Linked DNA regions of Diceros bicornis minor. The protein of the gene in region 1 interacts with the protein of each later gene in a pairwise test. Links are inferred from orthologs where the notes say so. Each region holds a gene or a part of one and is shown in the gene's direction. Other genes may lie near its edges. The genes, in order: TRAF3IP1, GOLGA4, SMC4 and IFT20.

What was found.
Region 2: the proteins of TRAF3IP1 (region 1) and GOLGA4 interact in a two-hybrid assay, tested with the Homo sapiens proteins (2 studies listed by BioGRID and IntAct). The link is inferred for Diceros bicornis minor from reciprocal best matches to the Homo sapiens genes TRAF3IP1 and GOLGA4.
Region 3: the proteins of TRAF3IP1 (region 1) and SMC4 interact in a two-hybrid assay, tested with the Homo sapiens proteins (2 studies listed by BioGRID and IntAct). The link is inferred for Diceros bicornis minor from reciprocal best matches to the Homo sapiens genes TRAF3IP1 and SMC4.
Region 4: the proteins of TRAF3IP1 (region 1) and IFT20 interact in a two-hybrid assay, tested with the Homo sapiens proteins (2 studies listed by IntAct). The link is inferred for Diceros bicornis minor from reciprocal best matches to the Homo sapiens genes TRAF3IP1 and IFT20.

The regions. Positions count from the first base shown.
Region 1 is NC_080776.1:25,701,003-25,708,663, forward strand, and holds the start of TRAF3IP1 (TRAF3-interacting protein 1), read left to right. Parts: upstream 1-4,658; 5' UTR 4,659-4,737; coding exon 4,738-4,860; intron 4,861-7,661.
Region 2 is NC_080741.1:40,222,308-40,229,852, forward strand, and holds the start of GOLGA4 (golgin subfamily A member 4), read left to right. Parts: upstream 1-4,528; 5' UTR 4,529-4,545; coding exon 4,546-4,617; intron 4,618-7,545. UniProt on the Homo sapiens protein: Involved in vesicular trafficking at the Golgi apparatus level. May play a role in delivery of transport vesicles containing GPI-linked proteins from the trans-Golgi network through its interaction with MACF1. Involved in endosome-to-Golgi trafficking.
Region 3 is NC_080754.1:66,299,797-66,307,630, forward strand, and holds the start of SMC4 (structural maintenance of chromosomes protein 4), read left to right. Parts: upstream 1-4,832; 5' UTR 4,833-5,005; intron 5,006-5,722; 5' UTR 5,723-5,732; coding exon 5,733-5,841; intron 5,842-6,678; coding exon 6,679-6,857; intron 6,858-7,328; coding exon 7,329-7,520; intron 7,521-7,834. Other genes in the region: IFT80 (intraflagellar transport protein 80 homolog), read right to left, coding at 4,384-4,467. UniProt on the Homo sapiens protein: Central component of the condensin complex, a complex required for conversion of interphase chromatin into mitotic-like condense chromosomes.
Region 4 is NC_080757.1:19,128,165-19,135,515, forward strand, and holds the start of IFT20 (intraflagellar transport protein 20 homolog), read left to right. Parts: upstream 1-4,350; 5' UTR 4,351-4,412; intron 4,413-4,454; exon of another isoform or gene 4,455-4,577; intron 4,578-7,351. Other genes in the region: TNFAIP1 (BTB/POZ domain-containing adapter for CUL3-mediated RhoA degradation protein 2), read right to left, coding at 1-47, 669-873. UniProt on the Homo sapiens protein: Part of intraflagellar transport (IFT) particles involved in ciliary process assembly. May play a role in the trafficking of ciliary membrane proteins from the Golgi complex to the cilium.

The DNA.
Region 1 (7,661 bases):
TGGACCACTTCTCCTCCCACCTGGTACCTGCCTCCCCAACCCTTCCCGCAGGCTGACCCACATCCTGGGCTCTTCGCAGATGTGGAGCTCAGGGTTGGGCTAGGCTGGCCCTCCAGGCCTTTGTCTTGGGGAATGTTTGCCTCTCAGGCAGGGGAGACAGGGCCTGGAGACATCTGGCTTTGCGGCGCTCTCTCTCCTGGGGTGTCAAGACCATGGGTATCTCATTCATTCATTTATTCAGAACCTGCTTATTTCAAAAGCATCTCCTGCCAGCCTTTTGTGTTTCAAACTCTTTCTTTGCTGCAATTTTCTATAGTTATTTAATCAATTTTCTTTTTTTCATGAATGACTTTTTTTATGTTCTGTGCCTTTTCCTCTCATCCTTTCATGACTCTGAGGCACTCAAGGGTTATTCAGGCTACAGGGCCCCCCATCCAGCTTGTGCCCAGAACTGGAGGCTCCGGGCTGGCCTCTGCACTCCCCACCCCCGTGTCCTGATTCCAGGTTTCTTTCTTGGAGTCGGGACTCCTCAGCTGCATCTTCTCTGCCCTGCTTTCCCAGGGCCCAGACCGCCCTCCTGCTCTTTTGTGTGGAGGGATGGACTTGCCTAGGGGCAGTGTTGTGGCCTCAGGAGGACACAGTGGATGGCCAGGAGAACACTCCCCAGAGGCTGTGACCTCCAGGGACAAGTGTCCACTCCACGGCCACCTTCCCCCAGACAGGCCCTCAGTGGGGTAGGGCAGCTACGCTCCCTTGTTCCAGATCCTCTCAGACCCTCTCTCATGGCCCTGTGGTCCTCAGGAGAATAGCAAGACCTGTGCCCTCAGGCTTCCAAAGGGTCTCCTCGGCCTAGATGACCCCTCTGCTCTCCACAGTCTGTGAGAGAAATCAGAATTAGGCTTCCCCCTCGTGTGGCACTGGATGAGGTCCTCAGTGGAACCTCAGTGGCCAGAGGGCTCTCCACTGCCACACCTACCTTCCCTACCGCTCTGGTCTCTGGTTGACCGCTCACAGAAAAGCAGGTTGCCCCTACAGCCCTGGGCCCAGAGAAGGATTCTGCCTGGCATGAACTTTCCGGGGAGGGAGCTGGGGAGTGTCTGTCAAGAAGGCAGGGCACTTGGAGTCAGAGGCCTGAGTCTCCCCTCCATCCCCGCTCAGGCTGACCACAGTCATTTTCAGAGCTCAGAGGTGGCTGCTCCTCACAGGAGCTTCTGGGGTCTCAGCTTGGCCATGGGGAGCAGGTCAGGGAAGATGTCTTGGTGGGACACTCCAGCTCTCAGACACCACAGCATCTTCTGCATCTGGTGCAGCCCCCAGGGGCTCTACCTGGCCATCCTGTGAGAATGACATCCTACCCTCTCTTTCCTTAACACCTGGAGGGCAGGGAGCTCGTGTATCTTTGTCTCAGGGCTTCATCATTTCAGATCTTCGGGCCAGCCTTTGTGAACTAAGGGCCCAGCCATGAAGAAGTATGCAGTCTCACTATGTCTCCCCTTTTAAAAGCCCCTTGGGGGCCTGAAGTGGGGATGGGGTGGTGGGTGGGGAAGGAGAAGGAAGGGAGCTGACACCGTTCTCCATGTGAATGTGAAGTATTAGTTTGTGTGGGTGAGGATGTTCAGAAATGATAAGGCAGCTGGGAAACTATTTTAATCTTCTTTATGGGGTTTGATGAACTGTTTGAATTAATATTTGTTCTTGGGAAGCCAGATACACATGTGATAAAGATAAGTGTGTGGACAATCAGGAGAATAACAGGAACCTGGGAGCCCAGGAAGGAGACCAATTCACAGTGTCCATCACCCTGGATTGTTCTAAGGGACCCAGGTGCTGAATGCCACAGTGGACTGTCCTGCCAAGGCCTTGGGGTGTGAGACTGGACTGGAGAACCCAGACTCTGGGAAATGTAGTGCTGAGAGAAAGGGAGTGGATGGGAAGACACAAAAGCTTCCATGGGTAGAGGGTGGGGTTTCCAGAAAGTCAGGGAGATTTGACAAGGCAGGGGTCAGAGGATGGAGGTGCTCTGGCCAAGGAGGTAGATCTGGAAGCCGGGGAGCAGGGTTAACAACTGAAGGCTACCCGGGGGGGACTCCCTCGAAGGGTGCAATTTGCTGGGGGCTTTTTTCCCCATTGATCACGGCATAGTTGTATACAGTGAGTGTTGTCAAATTCCTTCCCTCGTGGGTTGTCACTCTCTTAGGCTTCTCTCAACCTCTCAGTAAAGTTGCCTACAGCCAGCCCACCTGCGTGGTAAATCGTGGAAAGAAGCGAGGTTGACACTGCTGGAGGGAGGTGAGCCTTGGCGGTTCACCTGGCCTCTGTCTAGGTGACCGACGCTTACATCATCCCGCATAAAGTTAGCAACAATGAGAGTGATGTTCCCAGGAGCAGTGGACAGCAGTGGACGGTGTGAATGTTGCTTACTAGAAGGTACATGGTTCCGCATGAAATCTGCAGCACCTAGACAGTACTCAGCACATAGCAGTCATTCCATAAATGCCAGAATGATACTTTATGGGCTATCTTCACCAAGTACATATGAATATCCAACAAGTATACAAAAAGATGCTCAAAATCACTAATCACTAGAGAAATGCAAATTAAAACCATAATAAAATACCATTATACACCCACTAGAATGACTGAAGTTAAAAAGACTGACATATCAAATGTTGGCAGGGATATGGAGAAACTGGAAATCCCATATGTTGCTGGTGGGAATGAAAAATGGTGTAGCCACTTTGAAAACAGTATGGTAATATCTTGTAAAGTTAAACATATTCTTACCATACAACCCAGTAATTCCAGTCCTAGATATTTACCCGAGAGAAATGAACACTTATGTTCACACAAAGACTTAGATGTGAATGGTCTTAGTAGTGTTATTCGTAAATAATCAAAAAGTGAAAGCAAACGAAATGTCCATCAACTGGTAAATGGATAAACAAATTGTATTATGGAATACTACTCAGCCACAAAAAGGAATGACATATCAATAGATGTAGCAACACAGATGAATCTCAAAAATATTATAAGACAAAGAATTAAACAAAAAATGTATGTACTGTATGATTCTATTTACATGAAACTCTAGAAAAGGTAAAATTATAATGACAGAAACCAGATTTGCCTAGGGCTGGGGGCAGGGGAGGAGGAGATGGATTGTAGATGAACAGGAGGAAATATTTTAGGGTGTGCAGGAACTGCTCTATATCTTGATCATGGTGGTGGCAACATAATTGTATATAATTATCAAACTGCATCAACTTTCACACCTAAAATGGGTGAATTTTATTGTATGTAAATAATAATCAAATACAATTTTTTTTTTTTTTTTTGGTGAGGGAGATTGACCTTGAGCTAACATCTGTTGCCAATCTTCCTCTCTTTTCTTGAGGAAGCTTGGCCCTGAGCTAACATCTGTGCCAATATTTCCTCTATTTTGTATATGGGTCACGGCCACAGCACGGCTTGATGAGTGGTGTAGGTCCTTGACAGGGATCTGAACCCGCGAACCCAGGCCGCCGAAGTGGAGGGTGCCGAACTTAGCTACTATGCCACTGGGCTGGCCCCTACATACAAATTTGAGCAAAAAACCCCAAAAAAACCCCACATACATCATGGACAAATTTATGAAAACCAATGATAAAAAGAAAATCTTGAAGGCAGTCAGAGACACAACAGACAGAACAAAGATAAGAACCACAGGGGACTTCTCTTCAGAAACTATATATTCCAGCAGCCAATGGAGTAAAACCTTTAAAGTACTGAAAGAAACAAAAATGTCAACCCAGAATTCTATAGTCAGTGAAACTATCTTTCAAATGTGAAGGTGCAATAAAGACTTTCAGACAAAGAGTGACAGCATCCATTGCCAGCTGACCTGTGCTAAAAGAAATGGTAAAGGAAGTTCTTCAGACAGGAGAAGCATGATCCCAGGTGGAAATCTGGATGTACACAAAGAATGAAGAGCACTGAAAATAGCAAAAATGAATGTAAAGTTATGAAGATATCCATCAGAAGAACTAAAGACAGGCCACAAAGCTTCCAGATTGCTAGAAGGACCTGCAGAGAGCCTGGGCATGGCGGATGGAAGACGGTGGGACGGAACCACACACACCTGGTAGAACAGCAGGGCGTGGCTTCGTCCCGGTTACAAAGCGCTGGCACGTCATTTGGCAGTTAGGGAGGCAGGCTGGCACATTATTATCCTACCTTCATAGGAACAGAAACGAAATCTCAGAGACCAAGAGTTACTTGCCCAAGAAGCCATAGTAAGTAACAGACAGGATAGGGCATTTTCTAACCCGTGTCTTTTGAGACAACTTAGTTCAGTCCCCTTGAAACCTGTGAAAGGAGCAACACAAATCTTGGAAGTCTGGAAGCGCGGTCACCTGTACCTCGGGGCGATTCCTGAGGCTGTCGTGAGGGCCCAGAGAGAAGGCGGGCGCTGTCCCCGCACCGGGAGGCTGAGGCCGTCCTCCCGCAGACCCGACCCAGCGTGCGCGCGCAGCCGGCGGGTGGTGGGCGGGGCGCCGGGAGCGTCCGTTTCTAGGGCCGCGCCGCCCTGGCGACCGAGCGCCGCGGCCCCGCGCACGCGCCTTGGCGGACTCCGGTGCACTGTGGGATGGAAACCCCAGCGGCTCGTCGAGGCTGGAGCGGGCGGCGGCGGCGGTGCTGCAGGCGGCCGGGCAGTGGGGCTTAGGCTCGGCGGGCCGGCAGGGCGCGGGCGCCGCCGCCATGAACGCGGCGGTGGTGAAGCGGACGCAGGAGGCGCTGGGGAAGGTGATCCGGAGGCCGCCGCTGACGGAGAAGCTGCTGTGCAAGCCCCCGTTCCGCTACCTGCACGACATCATCACGGAGGTGGGCGCCTGACCGGGGCCTGGGTGCGGGCCAGGGCTCAGGACCCACGGTGGGGGTCGGGGCCGGGATGCGGGTCGGGGTCGCGGCCGGAGTGCGAGTCAGGGCCGGTGTGCGGGTCGGGGCTCAGCACCCACGGCGGGGGTCGGGGCCGGGGTGCGAGTCCGGGGTCAGGGTCGGGGTGCGGGCTGGGGATCGGGGCCCACGGCGGGGGTCAGGGGTTCGCCCGGGTGGCGGGCTGGGGGTCAGGGCCCCGGTCCAAGTCGGGGTTGGGGGTCGGGGTCCGGCCTCGCGTCGCTGTGCGCGGCGCCTGCCCGAGGAGCCCGGCCTTTGGCCTGGCCTGCAGCCGGGAGGGGCGACCACTGGGCCCAATTCCGCAGTACCTCTGCGCGGAGTTCCTCGCGCTCATCCCTGCTCTCCTGTTCTCACCCATCCCCCAGGGCTGCCTCTTCCGGGGAGACTCCCAGCTCCTCAGGGAGCATTAATTCTTTCCAGCCTACCCGTGTATCTGTTAGAGCACATTTTCCATTTTCCCTGGCAGAGTTGTTTCTGTGATTTTTTTTTCCTGCAGTGCCTAGCACGTGGAAGGTGCTCAGAAATCCTGGGAGAATGAAATTATTCTTCTTTATACCGCCCCCCCCCCTTCCCCGGTCAAGTTTCCCACTGCACTGCAGAGCACAGTGGTCACCACATGTTGGATACTTAATAAATACCTGTGGGTGAATTTACTGAAGGTGGTTGTAGGGGGTCCCGAAAGGAAAAACTATAAAAGAGCAGGTTAGTGTTTGCTGGTAAATGGCACAGCCTGCCCTGAGTGGTGTTTGGTTGTCTGTAACTTTTCCCCACTGGATGGTGAATTTCTGAATGATGGAGACTGTAACTTCTTTGTTGGCATATCCTGGGTGAGCTGCACTGGGTACGGTACACAGAAGGTGCACAACAAACATTCATTGTTGAATGGACTCTGTCAAGGCTCCTGGTAACCCAGGGTGGCATCGCCCATTTCCATGGTGCACCTGGGGGGGCCGTGTTGAACCTGGGAACTCAGGCATGCTCTTTGGGAATTAGGAATCACGTTGAACTTGCAGGCTTCGGGGGGCTGCTATCTCACCCTGTGTTGGTCCTCAAACTTTATTTCTCACTCTTCTCAACAGGTTGGGCATCTTACTCTTCCACAAACTTTTCTTTGCTTGTTTCTGCCATCTTAATTTAGCTTATAATGTGTGCCTCTGTGCTGAAAACCCTAATTGTGCTTAAAATTCTCTGGAATCCCATCCACATCCCAAGGGTCGTCTTGACTGGCCGCTGCCTCCTTGTGCAGCTAGTGCAGCACTTACACCTGTCCTGGACAGTGTCTGGGGAAGGGACAGGGCTGTGTGCTGCATCGCCTCCACCCTGTGAAGTAGCGTCCTCCAGCCCAGGAGGGAACAAGTCAGTCAGCCTGGCTGACTGCGGCAATTGCTGCCACAGCCTCACACTTTTCTGTGTTAGTCCTGTCTCCCCGCTGAAACAGAGCCAGGGAGGAGGCGGGGGGACGTGCCTCATCCTGTGGGTCTTGGTGTGGGGCTGGGCTCACGGTGGCTGCTGTCCCCACCTCCTGGAAGGTCGGAGGGCATCTTAATGGAGGAGGAGGAGGAACATGCAAGCAGGAATTGGTGTGATTGGCCAGGTAGCCAGGCTGTGTGGAAGGAGTGAAGCGTTCCCTATCAGGAGCCACTCACCTGCTTTTCTTTCACAGATTTTTCCTAATCTAATGCCGAAATGAATTTCTCTACCGGTGTAAAGATAAATATGTTAATTGTCACCCACTTGATAAAGATATTAGGATGATTGAAATATTGGAAAGGATTTTTAGATAATAGGGGAAGAACCTCTATGAAAATTCTTTACTGCCCCTGAGCATTATAGTCAAGTCACCATATTAGTATTTTAGCTACAGTTAAACTAATTCTGCCTCTTTTATAAATCCAAGTGTTGATCTTGTGACATTAATGTCTCATCACTTAAAATTATTGCTCACAATTTTAATTGCAAGCAAACTGGGAAAACCTCAAAAGAGACAAAATGAAAAAGTTCCAAGAATGTTAAGTGCAGGATACTCGTAATATTCCACCTGTCTTATCAGGAAAAATAATGGCACAGCTCTTAAGTAGTTTGATGAGGAATGAAAGCTGACTTAATTAATAGCTAGCTGTAGCTTGGTGTCAGAGAAGGAGCCTGATATTAGCAGAGGGACTGTCTTCTTTTTTTTTGAACATGCAGTAATAAATATGCTCTGTATCCACCCAGGACATATTCACCCATAGACATATTCATCCTTACCACATACAATACATTCTAATATTTTCTTTTCTGTTTCATTTTTTTAAAATGCTTATTGCTACCCATTATGTTGATTTTACAGTGATCTACCACATTTTGAAAAACTGTGTCTGAGGGAACCCAGGGCCCTGGCTGTGTGTAGGGGTGGGGAGGAACAGAGAAAATCACCACCCAAGAGCTCGTTTTAGGGGTATTTGGGAGGTACAGGTTGACTAGGGGAGAGAACAAAAGTGATACGGCAGAGAGCACCCCTGTGTCCTAGGAAGTGAGCAGCACAGTGGTGAGGAAGACCTTTCCGTCCACTGTCAGAAACCCAGGCTGAGAAGTTCCTTTTTTTTCCAAGATCCATTCTCTCCACCAAGCCTGGGTGACCCTTGTAAGATGCCATTCCCTGCTTTTGAACCTCTCACGGCCTCCTCTTGTTCCCAAGACTAAGTCCGCATTCCTGAATGGCTTGGAAGGCCATCCAGGCCAGGCCCCTG
Region 2 (7,545 bases), on another chromosome or scaffold:
TAGCCCAGGGCAAATCTTCCTCAGCAAAAAAGAGGAGGATTGGCAACAGATGTTAGCTGAGGGCTAATCTTCCTCACACACACACACACAGAAAAACAACCTACAAATATATTTATATACAGATGATTAAATTTACATATCTCTATATTTTCATAACTACAGAAACCAAATGGAAATAATACAAACTAAATTATTAAAAGGGGTTATTTAGGGAGATAAGATTATACTTCTGTTTTTGTTACAGAAAGTAGATATTACTTTTGAAATAAAAAAGGATAAAAATACAGTGTGATACATAAATTAACAGCATGTAAGACTGAGGTTGGATAGAGGAGAGCATGATGAACTCCACTGATGTGTGTGTGTGTGGGGGATTTGGAGGCAGTGTTAGAGAATGCTCGAATGGGGTGATGACATGTGAGCAACATTATCAAGGGTGGATAAGTGGAAAAGGAAAAAAGGTACAAACTCATGAGGGACAATGAGTATACTGCGCTCATTAAGATTTTCACAACTACTATGTATAACTTGTAGACTAAAAAAAGAATAGCAAGGACGTATACAAAAGCAGTGTGCAAGGGAACCACAAGTTAATTTGACATTTCTGGAGCTTTGAAGTGTGAAGGGTGGAAAGGGTATAGTAAGAGGGAAAGCAGGAGCCAGGCTGCCGAGGGCTTCTTGTACTGCCTGGGAATTTAAACAGTGTTCTGCAGGACAAGGAGGCCACTGATGGGATTTCAGCAGGAGGGTAACATCAGCTATGTAGAAGATGGATTAGAAAGAAGCAAATCTGGAAACTGGGAGATCATTTAAGTGGTGAGGTATACTGAAGACTAAAACGAGTGGCAGAGAGAATAGGAAAGAGGATGGATTTGAGAAGTATTTCAGAGTAAAAGACACAAGACTTGGTGATTCTCTGGATATAGGTGAAGAATGAGAGAGGGATGTTTTAACTCACTTTCAAACTTTTAGCTTGGGCAGATGGAAATGACATCAGCCAAGCGAGAAAATACAGATGGTAAAACAAGCCTGTCAAGAGGAGAAGATGCAAGAAGTGAGAGGAAACACAGAAGAGGCCAATCTGATGGTGATGGTAGGGGGTGTAGTAGTGGATGATTTCAGTTTTGGACATGTTGAATTTGTGTGCTTATAGGCCATTAAGAGGAGTTGTCCAGTAGGCAGTTGGATGTATCAAGACTAGGTAATTCTGCAGAAATTTAGTGTCAGGCCCTGTACCACGCACTGGCTGACTTTTATGACAGGTATGGCTCTTGCCCTCCCAAACCTGAAAGCCTAGTGGAGATGCTATAATCAGGAGCTCAGGGGGAGGCCTAAGCTAGAGCTCTCAACATATAGATGGAGAGTGTTACAAGTAAAAAGAGAATGAAACTCTTAGAATTTATAAATATCATTTACTATGAGCTATACTTTATGTACATCATCTCATTTAAGCTTCACAACATTCCCATGAAACGTTAAAATGTTACAGATGAGGAAAATGAAGGGCAGAGAGTTGAGACTCAGAGGTCACAATCTGGCCTTTGAGCTGAATTTTATTCTAAGAGCTGTTTTGCTGCAGTCATTTAAAAATGTCTCGATGGGTTTGCACTATCTAGTTTGTTACTTTCCCTCATTGTCCATTGTCTTATATCATATGTGTTTCACTCATAACCTTTCTACTCCTTTCAGGGATTTGACTTTATATGTGGTTTATCTAAGTGTCAAAGGTCACAGTGCCAAAAAAATGGCTGACTTATATTTGAACCAAAATCTGCGTGACATCAAAGACCATGCTCTTAACGGCTATGCTCTACTCCTGTGGGTGGCAGGTATCAGGATTCTTGATGAGGGTTAAGAAAGCGTGTTGTGTGGTGATGCAAAAGGGCTGATAAGGCATTTGTAGAAAGCAGGAAATCAGAGTTAAAAGTTTCAGCTGTAATTGGTTCTTTTGGCTATGTCTTTTCTGACATACTATTTTCTTAGCTAAGGCTTGGAAAGGAACTTAATAATATGTAATAGTTTTCTTTTTTTTTTGTGAAGAAGATCAGCCCTGAGCTAACATCCATGCTCTTTCATCTCTAATCATCCATCCTCCTCTTTTTGCTGAGGAAGACCGGCTCTGAGCTAACATCTATCACCAATCCTCCTCCTTTTTTTTTTTCCCCCAAAGCCCCAGTAGATAGTCGTATGTCATAGTTGCACATCCTTCTAGTTGCTGTATGTGGGACGCGGCCTCAGCATGGCTGGAGAAGCAGTGCGTCAGTGCGCACCCGGGATCCGAACGCGGGCCGCCGGTAGCGGAGCGCATGCACTTAACCGCTAAGCCACGGGGCCGGCCCGATATACAATAGTTTTGTGAAGCACAGTCCCTAGTGATTATGTTATTCTGAAAATTTCCTGAAATATGGAGATGGGGATGGTATCTGCCATTGGAAGGAGTGAAAGAATGATAATTAGGTTTGGTCTATAATTATGAAGATTGCTTCTTTTTGTTAAAAAAGATAGGTACCAGTTCCACTGGGGAAATAAATTCATGAGGCCTCTGGTATTATGATTGGATGCAACCCATTTCATGCAAGGTGTGCTAGTCCTTGGGCAGCTGGTTAGATGAGTCCAAGTTACTAACATGGAAAACAAGGGCAGGCAGGGTGCTCTGGCTGGGTTGGTGCAGGACTCTGAGAAGTAGGCCAAGGCCAGAGCCTTCAGAAGGTAATTTGCATCAAGGAGTGGCAGAAGAATTGAGCATATTTTATAGGTTTAATTAGAACAGACAATGAGAGAATGTTAATTTGCAGAGGCCTAAAGCCAAATGGGCTGTGAGGAGGCTTAATGTTTCAACAAAATTGTGGTTAAATGTGATGGTTTCAACCCTGCCCCTCCTCTTCTCTTTTTTGTGTCCTAGCAAGGACATAATTAGCCCTCTTCTGGTCTTTTTCTTTCTCTAAGTAATATTTTGGATCTCTTTTTATCATTTGTTTATTACTTATTATGGCCTGCTTTGATAGGGCCCACCTACATGTATACACATATACACAAATATATACATATATACACACACACACATATACATATGTATAACATTGGCAACCTTTGATTTATAATTGTGAACGTTGGGGTGAGGATGCATATCAGGCATCGGCAGTCTGGGAGCAGCCGAAGGTCTATTGCCTTTACAATCTTGAGAGAGAAAGACCCCTGGAAAAAACAAACTCTTGGTTATTACATAGGTGTTCACTATGAGACTAGAGAGGACTTAGCCCAGTTGTCAATGCAGTGTTCAGACCAGGCCCTGCTCTGGCTCTAACACATTTAGGGATCAGGCTATGGAATCTTAGAGAGCAACTTGCTCCTATAATTGCTAGTAAATAAAATTTGCTAAAATGTGAAGATCAGCGTATACTCTCTCAGGTTCTGATATCTGAGGCGATGTGGAGCAATTTGGTACAGCATGCAGAAGTAGGTTGCTGAGCTGGATCTGAGGGTTCACAGACCGCCAAAGTTCGGGGTGTTTGATGAGTCAGGCACATCTCTTAGGACGACTGCAGGTGTTAGGGGTAAATCTGAACTCTTCAGGAACCTGTGTCTTTCATCAGGCTGTGAATTCTTTTAACATCCCCAAAGACCTGGCACTCACAATGATAAAAATTTTTGAATGAATATGTGAAAATATACGATTTCGGTGAAATAAAAAATAAAGGCAGATGTCCAAACGATTGAGATCTTACAACATCGGCCTGAAACATCTGGACCCTGGCGCCTCCCGTCAGGTACTTATTGACCCCTGGAAGAGTCCAGGAGAGGAAAGAGGGCCCCTCTGGGGAGCAGCAGGAGTAGTAGGCACTGAAGATACAGAATCCTCACCACAAATACTGAACAGAAGGACACTATCCTTCAGAGCCCCAGGCAGGTTCCCTGGAACACCCTTCTCCCACCCAGGACGCTCACATACTTGGTTCTTCGCTATGGGCCTGTCAGCCCCGCCGTCCTCAACAGCACCACCCTCCCCGCCTGACTTCGCAGCGCTGAAGCCCAAGTGTGCGTCAGTGAAGCGCTCAAACCACTCCTCGCCTGGATTCTGGGGGTTTCTCTGCACGCAACGACTTTAGGCAGCACAGGATTCTGCGTCTTCCTTCACGTCTCGCGTTCGGGAGCGATACCCCGAGCGCGCATGTGCTGGCCGACTTCGTGTGCTTGTCCCCTCCGGCGCTCCGTAGAGCTCCCTCGGCGAGCTCCACGTAGGCCGCGCAGGCGCTTTTGGCACATCGTTCACCTGCTGCCGTTGTCGTTGTCGCCGCCGCCGCTGCCGCCGGGGCTGGATGGGGGGCCGAGGCCAACCAGTGGCACCCAGAAGAAAGAGACGCGGCGGCGGCGACGCCGACACCCGCAGGACGAGTGTCCCGATCCTCCCGCGAGCCCAAGGAGGAGGAGGCGAGGCCTGGCCCCCGCGGTCCCTGGCGTAGAGAAGCCGCCGTCGCCTCCGTGGCGGGGTCTCCCTGGGCACTCGCCCCTCAGGTCTCATTCACACTCAGGACCCCGCGGTGCGCCATGTTCAAGAAACTGAAGCAGAAGATCAGCGAGGAGCAGCAGCAGTTCCAGCAGGCGCTGGCCTCCACTCAGGTACTATGGCCGCCGCTCTCCCCTAATTCCGGACACTCCTTGACGCCGGCTCGGGGGCGAAGAGCAGGGGAGGTTCTTCCGTGACCCTTGACCTCTAACATTGTAATTCGCCCAAACCCAGGACTGGGAATGAGCTCAGGGCAGCCTAGGTCCTCCGTGACTCCTGACTGGGGTCCCCCATCCCGAAACTCCGTTCGGGAGAGTGGGTGGGGGCGGCCGGATCCTTGGTAGCATCTGACCTCTGTTCGAGTTTTCCACTGATGCTCCACCCCGGCCTGAGAACCAGTGAGAGGGACTCCGATCTTGGCGTGATTTTTGACCCATATCAAAGGTTCCCCCGCCCATCCGAAACCCCAACTCAAGACTGAGTGTGGGATGGGAAAACCTGGGTCCCTTGTCATATCTGACCTCTTCACTGAAGTCCTCCCTCTCATCCCTGACCCGAAATTGAGTACGGAGGAGACAGGATCCCGCAGGACTCCTGTCCCGTGGCGAAAGTCTAAGTCCAAACCCTCGTCCAGGGGTGAGGGCCAGGGGTCGAGCCATTCCAGGCCAGGCTGCTTGCAGGAGCGTTGGAACCTGAAAGAGGCGACAGTGTGGCCGGCGTCCAGCGCCTGAGGCTGTCACGAGTTAGTCCCTTCGCATAACTTGGTTGATCTGGGCAGGCGGAGGGGCTGATACTCCGAGACCGGGCCCGGCTGCTGCCTGTCCACAGCCTGACTTCTGCTTCTTCAAGAGTCTTGTAACGTTTGTTTTTCACGAATAGAACTGCTTGAGGAAATGACAGTTTCCAGGAAAAAGGGAGCGTGTGAGTAGTGTTAATTTAAAGAAACAGTCTCCTAAGCGCCAATGAATGTGTGTTTTGGGTCTGGCAGCGCGTGGTCTCTTCAGCGAAGAGAATTTCTTCCCAGCCTTTCTGAGTCTCAACAGATTGAGCAAATCTCTTAACTTTAGAGTTTCTACAAGAAAGACTGAGTTTTAACTGGTTTGGAGGCATTTCTAAAACATTTTTTAACATAATATTTGTCTTATGCAACTTTTAAACAGCTGTTAACCAACTGATTAACAACTATTAAACAACTACTGCATTGAGTTTTTTCTGGAACTGTATATTGAAGTTCTGTTAAGCTCGTGTAGAGTAAAACAGTGCTTGAAATACATCAGAGCATTACGCTGAAGGCTTGTTCATTCTCCCATGTAAAATGTAAATAACGATGAAAATTTAAATAGTAAATATTTTATTTTTTGTACCATTTACTTCAGGCTTTTTAAACTTTACAAAATACGATTATTTAAGAAACATAGAAAAAGCTTAAAACTGAGGTACGGATGAGGCATGTGGGGAATGAGCATGTTAGTGAGTGTAAGGCTTGCTTACATTTGGGAATGTGTAAAATATCGTTGATCCAGGATTCCACCTCTAGAAATTTATTCTAGGAAAATTTAGGATGTATTAAAGATTTAGCCACATGGATTTTCATTTCAGTGTTGTTTTAATAGGTAAAAACTGGCTAAAAATGTTCAACAATAGAAAATTGATTAAATAAGTTACATCAAGTAGTCAGTTATTAGGCAGCCTTAAAAAATGCCAACACTTATTGGGTTTTTACTATGTGCCAGGCATTTTGCTTAATATTTTACATGGATTATTTTATTTAATTCGGACATAAACCCATGAGGTAGTTTCTCATTTATGGAGTGAAGCTCAAAGAAGTTGAGTGACTTGCCTAATGTCACACAGCTAGTGTTAGAGCCTACAGAAAAGTTTTATTAATACGCAAAGATATTTGTGTTAAAAGACAGATTGAAAAGCAGCATGTGAAGTGTGATCCCAGTTTTGTGGGAAAAAATACGTATGTAAGTATATATACAGACAGTGAAAATAGTTTAAGAAGGAGATGCTCTAAGGTACTGATGAGATCTTATGAGTATTCTTTTTCATATTTGTGATGTTTAAATTTTTCTTCATGAAAATGAATTTGTACGTTAGCAAAGAGAGATTGTTTTTAGAATAATAATAAAAAAGCTATAGTTACAAGCTAACATATGAGAGCTTTCAGTTTCTATAGGTTGATGCTTCTGGTCAGACAGTGCAACTGGGTCAAATAACTTTGTGTACAAAAGATTTAAAACAATCTTCTTTGATAATATTTATATTTATCCGGAATGCAAAAGTAAATTGTTAGTGATGAACTACTGATAGAAACTTGATTCTCTTGTGGTCTCAGATCCTCAGCTATTCAGAACCCTTCAGGATGAGTTCTGGATTATTGTTTTCAGAGTTAAGGATTTCTTTCAAACATGAATTAAAAAACAAAATAGAAAAACCTTTTTTTTTTTTTTTTGGTGAGGAAGATCGGCCCTCAGCTAATGTCTGCTACTCCTCCTCTTTTTGCCGAGGAAGACTGGCCCTGGGCTAACATCCATGTCCATCTTCCTCTACTTTATATGGGATGCGCCACAGCATGGCTTGCCAAGCAGTGCGTCGGTGCGCACCTGGGGTCCGAACCTGCGAACCCCGGCCTGCTGCAGCAGAGCCTGCGCATTTAACCACTTGCGCCACCAGGCCTGCCCCAGAAAAACCTTTTTTGATGACAATTCTTTTGCAACAGATTACACGTATCTTTGTTTTCTTAAGCAAAAGATCTTGAATTTGTATATTATCATTTCTTCATTTTTGTATAAATTGTCTCGAAGGCACCATGCCCTCAAGAATTTAATGGGGTGTAAAAGCCAGTTCCCTTTTACCCACTCAAGCGAATTTGTTTGTTTGTTTGTTCTTGGACTACTTATAATTATTTTTTTATTTTTATTTTTAATTTTTTTGCTGAGGAAGATTTGCCTTGAGCTAACATCTGTTGGCAGTCCTCTTTTTCGCTTGAGGGAGATTAGCCCTGGGTTAACATTGGTGCCAGTCTTCCTCTCCTT
Region 3 (7,834 bases), on another chromosome or scaffold:
TAATCTTCCAGATACGGTACTTTGTTTTCTTCCTTATATAAAATGGGGCTAATAATACCTACTTCACAGGTTGGTTATGAAGATTAAATGAGATCAAGGACGTAAAATATCCAGTAGAGTGCCTAGAACATAGTAAGAACCTAACAATCATTAGATCTTTGTAGTGAAAATTGATGTCTTTGTCACTCTTCACATATTCACTCTTTTCCTAGCTACAAAGAATTTCTCCTTGGAACACCCACTTTCTCACTCTTAGCCCATGTGGCTTGAATGGAGCCAGCATGAGACCCAGATTTAAGCCAATTAGAGCATTCCATTCCCTTTGTACTAAGACTGTTTCACAGATGGCCCAGGACTTTTATTCAAATAAATCATGGGGAAGAAAAACTCTCCTTACCCTCAGTCCTTAATTTTAGAAGATTTGAGGCTGGAGTTACTATATCTTACCACAGCAAAGGGAGAGCCTGGAGGTGCCAGAGGCCACTACATGGAGCCCGAGAACAATGCCACGACAAAGGAACGCAAAGGAAAGCAAAGAAAGAATCCGAATCCTGGTGTCTTTGTTTGGACACTGAATCCAGTTATACTCATCTGCCTTTTTCGTTATGAGAGCCAATATGTTTTTCTCAAGACAATTTGGATTCGGTTTTCTGTCACTTATAATCTAGAGAGTCCTACCTGAAACATTGCTATAATTATTTCTTCTTCCTAGATTCTAAGAATGGACATTTTCTGGGTGATCCTCTCTTTACTCACAACCTTAAAAACCTAATCTATTTTTAGCATTCCAACTATTCTTATAACACTATCTCATCCTGTTTTCTCTACTGAGCCTATTCTCTCTTATCCTATTCTCCACCTCTACCGCCCACTGGATATATCTTTCCTAATCCCAACCTACATGAATAAAAACAAACTCATCTTTCAAAACGGTCTTTCTCCCCAAACTGTTCCACTTCTTCACTTCCTACTGTTTCTGTATTAAGACGGATGAGAGTTTCAGCAAGATTAATGTACTAGGGGGCTTATATTATCAAGAGGAATATTCATTACTATCTGTCCTGTGTCTATATCCTATTTATTAATCTTGAATAATATTCTCTAAGTATTTATACATTAGTTACATAAATTCATGTTTATTTGTTCATTTTGAATTATTAGTTAATATCTAATTAATCCAAATATTTACAATTACAAACTTGATTAATATTTTTAAACATTTACCCACAAATCTAATTTAAGACAATGAAATGTTATAACCACATTAGAAGACAGACAAAACACATGTTATTGCTATAATAACAAAACTTAACCACGCACTTAAAGAATTATAAATGTGGATTTTAACTCTAATTCCAATTCTTCTCTTTGAACTTATTCTTATTTCTTCCTGTGGGATACAATTTTACTTTTAAAATGTAAAATGTGAAAGTTCTCCTCTCAGACTCAGTATAGATAACGGTTGTTAGTAGATGATTTTGGACCAGAAAGATGAAACTTGGTTATACTTTCCAAAATGACTGTAACCTAGTCCATTCCAATTGGACCAGCTTCTTTTTATAATTAAACTCTGTTAATTTCATGAGACTTATCCAAAGCATTAGCAGGCCTCAATCGAGTACTTCTTGTGACCCTGATCTCTTCTCAAATCACTTCTTCATTTATTCAGCGTCCTACTTTCACTCTAGACTTAAGTCTACTCTGTAGCTGTTTGTTATGAATGCCTTTTCTACATTATACAACCTGGTTTAAGCCTGTTTTTGTGTGTGTGTGTGAGGAAGATCAGCCCTGAGCTAACATCCGATGCCAATCTTCCTCTTTTTGCTGAGGAAGAATGGCTCTGGGCTAACATCTGTGCCCATCTTCCTCTACTTTATATGGGACACCGCCACAGCATGGCTTGACAAGTGGTGCGTCAGTGGGCACCAGGGATCCGAACCTGTGAATCCTGGACCGCGGAAGTAGAACGCGCGCACCTAACCGCTACACCACCAGGCCGGCCCTCAGTTTAAGCCTGTTTGAAAATATTTGCTCTGAGTGGAACATGGTTAGGTTCAACTAAATCTAAAGCCATCGATCACTTTATTGATCTATTGAAATTATATTTCTTTTTCATCAGTCGTTAAGATCTACCATTATTTACAGTAATCATCAAAGGCAGTAAACTAGGATTTATCTGTGACTTATCCTTCTTCCTATCCCCTCATCACTAATTCAGGGATTTATAAACAAAGAACGGTATCTGACTAACTTTAAGGGTTTAGACTCTTTTTTTTTAAAGAACATTTATTGAGATCATAGTGTACTGGAAATGTCCTAAACCTTTATCAGTTATTTTTTTCCTCTTTTGCTGAGGAAGATCCACCCTGAGCTAACATCTGTTGCGAATCTTGTTTTTTTTTTTTTTTCCTTGAGGAAGATTAGCCTGAGCTCACATCTTTGCCAATCTTCCTCTGTTTTGTACATGGGTCCTGCCACAGCATGGCTGACAAATGGTGTACGTCCATGCTCGGGGTCTGAACCCACGAACCTGGCCACTGAAGTGCAGTCTGCCAAACTTAACCACTATACCATGGAGCTGGCCCAGGGTTTAGACCCTTAACCATTAAAATCTGCAAAAGCTATAGATTTTTTTCCCCTTAAATGTGTCTGGATTTTTTCCATTCTATTTGTAGGCACTTCTCACCGTCCACATGGAGGACTGTACAGTAATAATCTAACTAAGTCATGCCTGATCTCAGTCTCTTTCCCCTTTAACACAATCCACATAACTACTGTTAATTTTTGTTTTTTACCAAGTCATTCCTTAGCTCAAATTTTTTCTAATAGGTGTTTCCTCCATATCATATCTAACACCCTTGACCTGGCTTTCAAGACCCTTCATTAGTTAACCTTTTTCTAACTTGACATCCCATTATTCATCCTTAGCACATACCCTAAGAAGGTCAATGTCATGAACACAGCAATATCAAATGCATATAGCATGTGTGCTAGATGAACAATCATAACCAATCCTATGAGGTGGGTATTATATGCTGGTTTTATAGTAAATACTGTCAGAGAGTTGATAAATTAAGTTGTTCAAGAACGTAGCTAAAAAATGATAGGATTTGGGATTCTTTTCTCCGTTACATCTTTCTACTACATTGTGCTCTATCTCCCATATACACCACTCAACATGGTCTAGACCTGCTTTTTTCATGGTTGATATCTCTCCAACTCAGGTTTTGCAGTGTTTTACAAACTTCGAAAATCCAACAGATTCCAGAAGCTCTCAAAGAGAATTGCTACATTTTCTTGGTATGCCAAAGAATTTCTCTCATTGAGCTTTATTGTCTGTAGTTTGTCTTATGAAAATAATAATTCTTTTTTCAACTTCAAATGTAAAGGTATATTATAATATCTATTCAAACCACAGTTTCCCAACCTCATCTAATACACCTGCAAGGAGTGTCCTTCACACCCCTTCTTGAGAATCCCTGGACCAGGCCTGACGCTCCTCAGGGCAAAAGTCATAATACTTACTTAGAATCACAACGTAAATTCATTCATAAAGCAGATTTATTGGTGCTTTAGTATGCCAGGCCCTAAGTACACAAAAGTTAAAGGAAAAAAAGACGGTCCCAGTTCTCACTGTCAAGTACGTAAGAGTCGCTGAATAAATACTTACTCAAGGTAGTCAAATCAACCAGTTAACATTGTGGGGCATTAGGACCACGTTTGAGAATCTGATCAAAGTTCTGGGAAAACTAACTCCCCAGAAAAATGCACAAACACACAGAATTTTGTATATAGTTTCCGGGGGGGTTATGAACTCCTTTGACGCCCAATCACCTACCACCAGATCCACAGATTCCAGATTAAAAACCCACTAACAAAACTAACATCTCTGGAACAGGAATACTTGCTTAATAATCCTGATTATGCCTTGCACAGTGTAATATACACAAAAGCTACTTAAGAAATATTTGCCGATCGATAATTTTCTCATAAAGAGAACCAGATGACACTGGCAAATCGTTTCTTCCATTACGGAGTTTTTCAGTCAAATGATTTTAAAGGCCCAAAACCCCGTTTCACCAGTGACGCTAATGACCTAACCTCAGTAAATCAAAATCGTTATTTTGCTTTTCACATGTGGACTACACGATCGTTCAGCAATTCAGGTCCTCTCTCCTCCTTGCTGTCCCACCACTCCCTCCACACTCATGGCTTCCTCCTTGGCATCCCAAAAGTTCCGTCCAGAGCCCCACTGCCCCCAGGGAGACGGAAAACAACTGACGCTCTGCGCCGCACACACCGTCTAAGCAGGATGGTGGGATCCAGTGATGGCCACAACTTCCAAACCCTTTCCGCACGACGTCTGGAAGGGAAGAGATTTACCTTAAGGTCCAGGAAAGCGGTGGCACTTGTTATCGCAGAGCTAGGACCGGTTACCAAGCAGCCTCGCAACCTCCCTGTCACCATAGTGACTTCTAAGATCTACGCTCACTGCGTCTTCCCGCGATACTTCACCGCCGCGCGCCACCCGAGCGGGCCCGAGGCCCCGCCCTCAGCGAGCCCGCCCTCTCCTTCAGGGACGTTATTGGACGACTGAGCCCCGCCTCTAGCTGTGGGCGGAACCCCACTCTTTTTTTTCGTGTGTTTCAGAACTCGCCAGATTGTTTTTCTTTTTTTAATTTGTTATAAAAGTGGTGTTGCCGTAGGCCATCGGGAAAACACTGTTTCGCTCTTCCTTTTCTCTTAGTAGAAACATCCCCTGCCGCGTGGGTCCCGCCAAGAGTTCGCGGCTGCGCGTGAGCGACCAGAAGATGGCGGTGATAATCGCCGCATTTTTTTCAAATTAGTGGTTCCCAGAAAGCACTGCGCGCATTTGTAACGAATTTCCGTTCGAGTTTGTATTTTAGGCGCCATTTTCGAGTGAAGGACCCGGAGCCGAAACACCGGTAGGAGACCGGGGGCTGCGCAGCCGGTCCCAGCCCCGGTCTGAGTGGACTGTCCGCAGGTAAAGGCCTTCCTTCCTGCCCAGGCTCTCCCACTCTCCCTTCTCGTCCGTCGGCGGGCCCCGGGCAGAGGCCGGCGCCGGGCGGCGCGTCCGGGCTGCGGCGGGGGCTCTCCGGCTGTCACCCCTCCCCCGCGCTCCCGCCGCCGTCGGGGGTCCGTCGGCCGCGCGGAGCTCTTCCAGGGAACACGGGCTCTCCCGGGCAGGGGCGTCGCCCCACCCCGACCGCGGGTCCGAGCCCGTCCTGCTGACCCTTCGTAGTCGATGACCCAGCGGCTTGTGCCGCGCCCCGAGGGACCGACGCCGCCGCCCGGGTGACTGAGCCGAGCCCGGCTACCCGCGCCCAGTTGGGAAGCGGGGAGCGGGCGACCGCGGCGGGCGGCCATTGGAGGAGTCTCCCGGCCCGAGGCGGGAATGGCATCTCCGGGCGCGTGACCTCGGTTAGGAGGACACGAGAACATTCTGTGACTCCTGTACCGTGGGCGAATGGGGGGCATTACAGAAAGCAGAAGGACCGAAGGCCCGGGCACGTCTGGGTTCCCCCGCTCCCTTAGCACTGGGATCTAAGCGATCCCCCCCGCCGCCGGGCACCTGGGGTCTTGTGCCTGCCTTCCCGAGGCCGGCTGGCCGGAGCGGGCTTGGAGAACGGCCCTCAGGGCCCGGAGGACGGGGTTTTCCCGTCGGGCCGGGCCCGGCTGACCGGCTCCCGCCCTCCCCCAGCCCAGCCACCATGCCCCGCAGAGGCAGCCAGCCCTCTACCGCCCGGCGCCGAGAGGAAGGGCCGCCGCGGTCCCCGGACGGCCCCGGCCGCGCCGCCAGCCCGGCCGCCGAGGCCGCAGGTGAGTGCCGGCCGCCCGCGGGGGAGCGAGCCGCGCGGGGAGCGGGTGGAGGGCTGCGGGGTGGCGTTGGAGGTCGCGTGTCGGGCCCCCAGAGCAGCTCAAGAAAGCGAGTTGGCGATTTTCAGAGATTGGACTTCGCGCACTGTCTCTGTAGCGGTGCTGGAGGGGATGGGGGCGAGCAGTGGCTTCAAGTGTGCGTTTGTGGCCTTGTGTTTCCGCGGCAAGCGGCGCGGGCAGCCAGTGTCCGACAGAAGCAACCTGCCTGTATGCTAATACGATGAAAAGTTGCTTGACACTTACTCACCTCACCTCCGGGGTCTTCAGTTGCGTTTAAACAGAAGATGAGAATTGACTCGGAACCGCATCGCTTTTGTGAGTCCGGGAGTTGGATGACATTATGCAACTCCTGTGACAGTATCGCTGGAGCTCGTGAGTGTCCGAAGTTAGGGTTCCAGGCTAACCCTAAGTTAGGCTCCGTCTCAAAGAGACGGAGAGAGCTGCATTTAACCACCTGTTTAGGCGGGAGCAGGGAATTAGGTTGTTGTGGTTTCCCCAGATTTGCTTGATGATGTAGTGTTTTGATTCCTAAGAGGTGTATTTCTATAGAATTTTGTGACTGGTGGCATTTCTTTCAACAATTTTTTTTTTTTTTTTTAAATAAAACCAAGCTGAAAGATTCTTATCCCCGGTGAGTTTAGGAGAGTATTATATTTAAGTGGAAAATAAAGGTTCATAAAGAATATGTCTCCAGAGATTAGCAGGCATTAGTCCTCCGAACTAATTGCACTAATGCAGATTTTTTTTTCCTTTGCCTTCCGTTTTCTCTGCCTGATTTAGAGACTCCAAGTGAGGAAATTGATAATAGAAGTTTAGAAGAGATTCTAAATAGCATCCCTCCTCCCCCACCTCCAGCAATGACCAATGAAGCTGGAGCTCCTCGGCTTATGATAACTCATATTGTAAACCAGAACTTCAAATCCTATGCTGGGGAAAAAATTCTGGGCCCTTTTCATAAGGTATTTGACCATTTGAAATAACTGTTATAAGGTAATGTGTCTTTATTATAAGATGTTTCAATTGTGTAACTATTGTAATTATCCTGATCAATACACACAGGGCATGTTTCCTATCCTTTTAACCACTGGATTTAGCTTTTGTTTATCTGGTTATCTTTGGTACCTCTTTATGCTGTAAAGTTTTCCTCGCTAAATAGAATTGGTGAGTTTTTTGTTTGAAGGGTGTGTTTTCTCTATTAGAATGAATTTTGTAAAAACTCTGAGTGAGAATTAGAATATAGTCTTATTTAATGTGTTGAAGCTTGTGATGGAGGAGAACATGATGTGACAACTTAAGTTGTGTTATCTTCTAGCAGTAAAAACTTTGAATAGTTGTAGTTTGCTGCAGGTAAAAAAATCAAGCAGATTAAAATCAGTAGAATTAGTATGACTTTTTTAACTTTATTTTTTTTTTCTGTTCTTTTTATGCAGCGCTTTTCCTGTATTATTGGACCAAATGGCAGTGGCAAATCCAATGTTATTGATTCTATGCTTTTTGTGTTTGGCTATCGAGCACAAAAAATAAGATCTAAAAAACTCTCGGTACTAATACACAATTCTGATGAACACAAGGACATTCAGAGTTGTACTGTAGAAGTTCATTTTCAAAAGATAATTGATAAGGTAGGGGACTTGGACTATTTAGCTATTTGTAACTTCAAATAAGGAACACAAAAGATTTCAATACATTGCACATTTTATTATTTTTGGCTTAAATTGGCCTTCAAATATTAGTATATGGTTAAAGCAGAACAGATATTGATTTCATTACCCCCATGACCATATTTTCTTTTTGAGGAGTGGTGGTGGCTGCCATTAAACTTAAAATATTAAAATTTTTAGCCAGGGAAATGAATTACAAGTAGCTCATAGTAGTGCTTACCTTTTTGAAATAAAACATTGAGCAGTTTTAGTATCCTAAGAACTAAATAGGCATT
Region 4 (7,351 bases), on another chromosome or scaffold:
CAAAATGGTGCCAAAGTGCTTTCCACATCGGTCTATGAGGATCCAGCCTAGGGATTCAGACAGGCCCCAGAGGGTTACTGTTTGCCTCCAGGTACCTCAGAAGCAAGCAAAGGCCACCTGACGAGCCTGGTGGCAGGTGGCAAGGAGCACATGAGCACAGAGCCCATGGCACAGGGTAACAGAAATGGGAACAGAACCTCTAGCTCCTAGGTCCATGGCTGCTCTTCACTCCTCCTCCCTGAAACCAAGAACTGGCACATGCCTTGGAAGACAATGGGCCCTCCAGGCTCTGTGGAGGCCCACAGGGATCTAAGCTCAGGAGTGCTCAGGCCCACCTCACAGCAACACAGAACCCATCACGCCCTGCTTGCCTTCTGCCCACTGCCCAGTTGCTACAGGGATGGTTCTTACGAGAATCTAGTCCTATGTGAATATAAAACAAGTATGGATCTTCTCTGGAAAATGCATAAACACACAACATTCTATGTACAATTTCAAAGAATTCCGAAGCTCTACTAAGCACTCCAGGTGAAGGAGTCGTATACCAGGTGAACTGGAAAAATGAATCTAGATTCTAGAACTGTCGGCATTAAGCCCTGCCCTGAAGTCACTTCCTCAGGAACTCCTCCCTCCCTCCCCACCCCACTCATTAAGCCCCAATGCCTCACCTTCTTTGTCAGTCAGCACCTCCATGCGCCCGCTGAACATGGCCTTGAGCATGGTGTCGTGCCGGGTGAGCGCCCGCACGGTGGTGTAGTACAGGGAACCGCCCACATTGAGCTGGACGTATTTGTTGCCCAGGCCTCCTCCCTTGAAGCCGCTTAGCTTGGGCTTGGCCCCTGAGGCTGGGCATAGACAGGTATCCCCTGACATCTCCCGCTGCAGGTAGATCACCACACGGCAGGAGGTCGGCTTGGAAGGCTCCACCGTGGTGGAAGGGTCACAAGTGAGTGGCCAGTGGGGGCCAGAGCCTCATGCTCTCAGTGCTATGAGCAGGAGATGGGAGAGAAGACAGAAGTCAGGAGAGGAGAGCCCTCAGTCAGGAGGGGACAGGAGGAGAAACACTGACTATCCAGTCATTCTCTCCTTAATAAGCCCTAGATTCCCTGGCAGAGGCTAAGGCCCTAGGCCTTAAGAAAGACATTCCTGGGGCTGGCCCCGTGGCTTGGCGGTTAAGTGCGCGCGCTCCGCTCCTGGCGGCCCAGGTTTGGATCCTGGGCGCGCACAGACGCACTGCTTCTCCGGCCATGCTGAGGCCGTGTCCCACATACAGCAACTAGAAGGATGTGCAACTATGACATACAACTGTCTACTGGGGCTTTGGGGGAAAAAAAAAGGAGGAGGATTGGCAACAGATGTTAGCTCAGAGCTGGTCTTCCTCAGCAAAAAGAGGAGGATTGGCACGGATGTTAGCTCAGGGCTGATCTTCCTCACAAAAAAAAAAAAGAAAGAAAGAAAGAAAGACACTCCTGCTGTTATTTATGGAACCAGGAATCAGGTTTGGGAGCACAGTCTCACAGAGCCGGGAACTGGTCACCTCACCAGCCTCCCTGAGACCCAGCTCAGCTCTGGACGGCAAGGAGGACAAGCAAACCCTTGGAGCTGGTCAGAGATGGCTTGAGGAACAGACTGGGCAGAACAGAAGTCCCCACCCTGGGGATCCACCAGTCAGATTCCAGTTATTTTCTTCTCAAGGTTCCCAGGATCCAAGACTTCCAGCCAAACATACTGGGAATCCAGCCAGCCTGGGAGTTTCCCAGGAGCCCGAGTGACAGGATGCGCTTCCTTTCTAAAGATTCCAGGCTCAGGAGCAGCCTGCACCAGTTCTTACTTGGAGCACCACCCGGAGTCTGGCTTCAGGAAGGCAAGTAAAAGCAGCTTCAGGAGAGCATGGAAGGAGCCAGGTTGGAGGGAGTCGGCCAGTGTTCCTGGCAGGGGCTACTCTGGCTCCAGCCGGGGTTTCCTGACCTTCCTCTTTCTTGGCATCAGCCCTGTCCTAAGTTCCTGAAATTGTCACCATTTTCCAGGACAGAGCAACTACAGGATGGCTATTTTTGCTTCTTTTTCCTGAGAGGCGGCCCAGCCCTATCTCTTCCTCTCTTCCCTCCCAACAAGAATGGGGAGAAAGGGCTAGAAAAAAACAGATGATAAATCTAAAAACAGTTAAGTGATCTGGAAAGTGAAACACTGATAGGAGTTCAGAGGAGGGAGGGCAAGGAAAGCAGAGGAGAGCAAAGCCAGGTCACCCCTCATGATTTAGATGCTATATGTTTTGGTTTTCTAAAGAATCACTGAAATTCAGTCACTGAAAAAAAAATAATAGCAAACATTCTTCGCATGTTTACTATGTTCCAGGCACTATTCTAGGCATTTAATATATATTAGCTCATTTAATTCATTCAGCAATAAAACAATATTGAGTGCCTACTATGTTAAGCAGTAGCAATAGACAGATGAAAAGATACCGTCTTCGCCTTCAAGGAGTTCAAAGAAGCATCATAATGTAAACAAGAATAAAAATACTAAGAGTTAGCATTGATTGTGCCACTGCTCCATGCAAGGCACTGGGGATACAGAAAAGAACAAACAAGTTATGGCCTCATGGAGCTTACATTCTAGTGGGAGGATACAGACAACAAGAAAATGAATAAATAAGCAGGCAATTCCAGAAGGTGAGGAATGTAATAAAGATAATAAAACAGAGATAAGAGAGTGACTGGTGAGAAGCACTAATTCAGACAGGGGGTCAGGGAAAGCCTCTTTAGGAAGCTGACATTCCAGCTGAGGTCTGAAAGAGCATTCCAGATAGATGGAAGAGTAAGGGCAAAGTTCCTCAGTTAGACACAAGGTTTAGCAACAGAAACAAGGCCAAGATGGCTGGTGCATAGAAAGAAGGGGGATGTTGGCTTGATTTCAAGTCAAGGAAGGCAGGGGCCAGATCATATTAGAGAGTGGATTTTATACTAATTGCAATGGGAATCGATTGGAGGGTTTTAAGCAGGGGAGTGATATGACCTGAGTTATTTACATTTTGAAAAAAATCACTCTGGCTGCTGCGTAGAGAATGAATTGTAAGGGTGCAAGAGAGCAAGTGGGCTTGTCCAGGAGACTCTCATTTGCCTTCAAGACGGAGTATGGATGAGCTGAGCCCTCACCAGCAGACTGCCCAATCAGTAAGTAATGGTGAGTGGTATGAGATCACCTTACCTTCCTCCGCCCACCCCAAGGGAATAAATCCATTCTTCAACAGGTTTTAGCAAGTTACCTACGTATTCTGTGTCTAGCCCCAATTTCCCCAGGATCAAAGAAAGTACACATACATATTCTACCAAAGCAAAGGAGCTCAAAGGCTAGGCGGTTGCCAACGGAGGTAGACAAATCCAGAGCTAATCTATTCCTTTCTTACAAAGCAATTGCTTTGAGCCCATGGATGACGTCAGCTCAGATTCCGCCCAGGCCAATGGGCTCCAGGAATCCTGTGGCAGGTGACGCCCCAGAAAGTAATTCCAGTGAGAATGAAGTTTCCATTGATAGCCTCAGCGCTCTTCCTTCCGGACTTTGTGTGTGGATATTTGGGGATGCCAGGGGCTAGGGGCGTATCCGCGTCTCACTCAGCGAAGCTAAAGGGAACCCAAGCAGAATAAAGGGCAGACAACCACAGCTGTGGAAGAAGGTGGGGTCCTAAAGAAAGAAGGACCCAGAAATCCGTCACACACGGAGGATGGCGGAGGCGGGGGAGTGGGGCCGATCTGGTCTAGAGAGGGCGGATCTAGCAGAAATGCTAGGTGTAAATTTTCGGCTTCATCCCAAGGGTCTGGGGAGATTTAGCGAGACCCAACCCACGGGAAATTTGCCCAGTGTCGAGTCTTCCCCAGCCCGTACCCCACCTCACTACCGAGAAACCGGGATCGGTTCTGACACCCACTCCCAGGGGAGGATTTGAGCTCTCCATCTCCCCTACGCCGTCCCACGCCTTTTCCCCAGCACCGGGTGGGGGTCTCTTTGCTCCAGTCCGCGGCCAGTCCATCCCTTCCCCTAGGGCATCGGCAGACCCGACTCTCACCGTCCCCGGGGGTGCCTCTCCTCTCAGCTGGATTGCAAGCCGACACCGTGCCGCCCCCAGACTGTGGCCGCCTGCCCGCCAGCAATCCCAGCGTGTGAGCTCACATCCTCCGCCCGCGAACTCCACCCCGAGCCGCTGCCCAGCCCCGCCGATCTGGGAGCATGGCACGCTGAGGCCGGGGATGCCTAACACCCAATCAGGGAGGAGGGAGGAGCCCCTGAGAGTATTCCGCTGAGAGCGCACAGCTACTTCCGGCGGCCTTTCCGGCGCAAAGGCCTCTGGATCTTGTAGGCAGCCGTCCTTCCTCTTAGACCTCCGTTTTCCCGCAGGCTCTGCGGGTTGGGCTGCGGTAAGTGCTTCCGGTGTTAGGTAGTGACGTCATGGGTAAACAGGTCCTGTAGCCGTGGCAGCGGCTGAGGCGGGCGGGTAAGGTACCGGCTGCCGCTGACCGGAGAGAGAAGCTGCCCGCCGACGTCAGCCTGGGGCGCGGCGCGCCGCGGTACCCGGTGGGCAGGTAGGCCGTGACTCCGGGTCCGGGGACGCGGGCGGACCCGGGGCGAGGTGAACCTGACGGGCCCGCGCCCTGAGGAAAGGCAGTCCCAGGCCGAAGGAAACGTGGGAATTCCGCTCGCTCTCTGGGAGCGGTTTCTCGCCTAGCTTGGGCCTGGAGCTTGACGCGTTGAGGCTCGGAACGATCTTATGAGGACACTGCGGCCCAGATAAGTTCAAGGAGTTTACGTAGTAAAGCCGGTTCCATCACCCAGGCTTTCCTAACTTTCCCCTAGTGCCCTCTCCCCACACCGCATGGATGGAGCAGGCTCGTATGGCCTAGCGTGGATCGGGGAGAGCCCGGGGGCGGAGAGGGCGACACCGCCCTCGTCTTCGGGGAGCCCAGTCCTGCCTTGTGCCCAGTGTTCCTCAGATGCTCAGACACGCGCGTGTGGTGGGAGTTGGGAGTGAATCCGATAGTCGGCTGCGAGCCCTCTCCCTGCGCTCCTTCTCCGGTCTTACCCATCTCATTCAACTCTCCTCTCCAGCCGTACAGTTGGCTCAAGCCAGATGCGTGGGAATCTTGCCTGACTCTCCTTTACTCATCTCCAAACCGCTACGTTCAATCAATCCTTTACTAAGTCCTATCAACTCGACTTACAAAACATCTCACCTCAGAACACTTTTCTTCAGCTCCAATCTTTGGTTACTGTAATGGGCTCCTTTGTTTTCACAGTCAGCCATTCCACAAACATTTACTGAGTGCCACATCTAGCAGGCACCATGCTAGATGCCAGGGTTACAGTGATGAGGAAGGTAGGTGTAGCCCTACCTTGTTCCCTCCAATCCATTCTCCATTCTGGGTCAGAGTGAGCTCTCTAAAAGGCAGATCTTGTTATAAGATCTGTTGAGAATCCACTGGCTGCCCATTACCCTTATGAGAAAGTCCAAGCTCATTACTGCAGCTTTCAGAGCCTTCCGTGATCCAGCTATAGCCTCCCCATCTAGCCTCATCCTATTCCACACTCCCCTTTGCTCACTGGGTTTCAGTCACACTAGCCTTTCAGTTCGTGGAATGCATTAAATTTCTTATAGCTTCAGGATCTTCACACTTGCTTTTCCTTCTGCCAGGAATGCCTCCTCCCCCCTTCCGTTGACAAACTTTTGGCCATCCTTTAGGTCTCAGCTGAAGTGTCACTTTTTCAGAAGGGTTTTGTTGACACCCCCCCCATATGAATTCTGTCCTCATGCTACAGCTTCACATAGTGTTACCCCCCAAGTGGAGGTCTTCTGCTCGCCGCAAGACATGCCAATAGTCAAGAGGCAAGGAGGTAGGAGAGAAAGGACTATTTATTACAGCTTGCTAGCAAGGGGAAGATGGCTGACTAATGCCCAAAAGAACCATCTTCAGGGGGCACAAAATCTTACAGCAGTTATATAGGCCCGTGGGGTATAGGGGAGGGGGTTAGGAATGTCGACCTTCTGGTGTTACAGACTGGGAGTCGCCACACCAGATCTTTCAGTTTCATTGATGATGGCTCTCAGCATAGACTCTCTGTTTGGGCGTCATCACATTCCTAAGGAACTCAAAAGCACAAAGTTATCCTCTTATTGCAGCGGGGAGGTACATACACAAGCAGGGGTTGTAAAATCTACAGAGCCGTTAGATCTCCTGGAGGGTGCATATCCAGCTGGGTTAGTTAGTCAGAGGTCATTCAAAGTTACAGTAGGGTTTCTTTTCTACAGTATGGCTTCCCTTATGTCAACCTTGTGTTGAGCTGGTATCAAAAGCACCATGTGCTTTTCCTCATACTATTATCACAGTTTGTGATTATTTGTTTGCTGTCTGTCCAGAAGTCAGGAACTAAAGCAATAAGGCATTTTCTTCACTACTCTTATCACCAGAGCAGGGACTCGGTAGATATTTCTGAATAAATGCATACTCGCAGGGGAGCGAGTGGAAGTTGAAGGTTAATTGAAGCTTTCTAGAGCAGCAGGTCTGATTAATCACCTGGTAGGTGTTAAATGCTTAGATTATATGTGTAAATATAACAGATCAAGCAGGAAGACAGATCTTTTTAAAAAGCCTGATTATAAGAAAGCTCTGGATGATTAAAATGTTTCAAAAGGAAGATGCTAGCCTGCTTACTTCAGTGGATTCCAGTGAGGCCAAAGGCCCTGGGCCACAGTCATGCACAGACAGCCTATAGACATGCATTAGTTGGCCCACACAGTGTTGGATGTGTTTTTTTCCTTCCTTTAAAAATCAGATTTCATATATCAATCTGGATTTCTGATCCTCTTGAAAATCAGTTCTGGCAACAGTGGGACTTAATTCTTTTTTAACCATTGGTCCTATGGTACACCTGCTCTGGGCAGTCACTTCCAGAATCACCCCTATCAGAACTGAACTCTTCTAAGGAAGCTGGAAGGGAAACAGGTGAGGCTGGGAGAGGTGGGAGAAAGGGAAGGGCTAGCTCAAGGCCAGGTGGTGGGAGCCTTTGGAATTTTTTTTTTTTTTTAAGCCAGAATGAGGGTGAGTTGTCAGTGTTTCCTTCCCAGAGTTGAGGCATCCTTTGGAGCAGGAATGCAAGGTGGCCTGGGAAGGGAGAGGATATCTCTGCTGGTTCTCCTGCCTACAGAAGAAGCCCCTAAACTCCTTAGCTTGGCACACAGGGTCTTTCTGCTCTGGCCCCAACCAACCTTTCCAGCTCCATCCTTTGTCCTGTCGTCTTCTAGGCAGGATAGGCCCTTTCAGTGACTTCAGGCTCTTGTTCATGCTGTTTTCTCGGCTTGGAA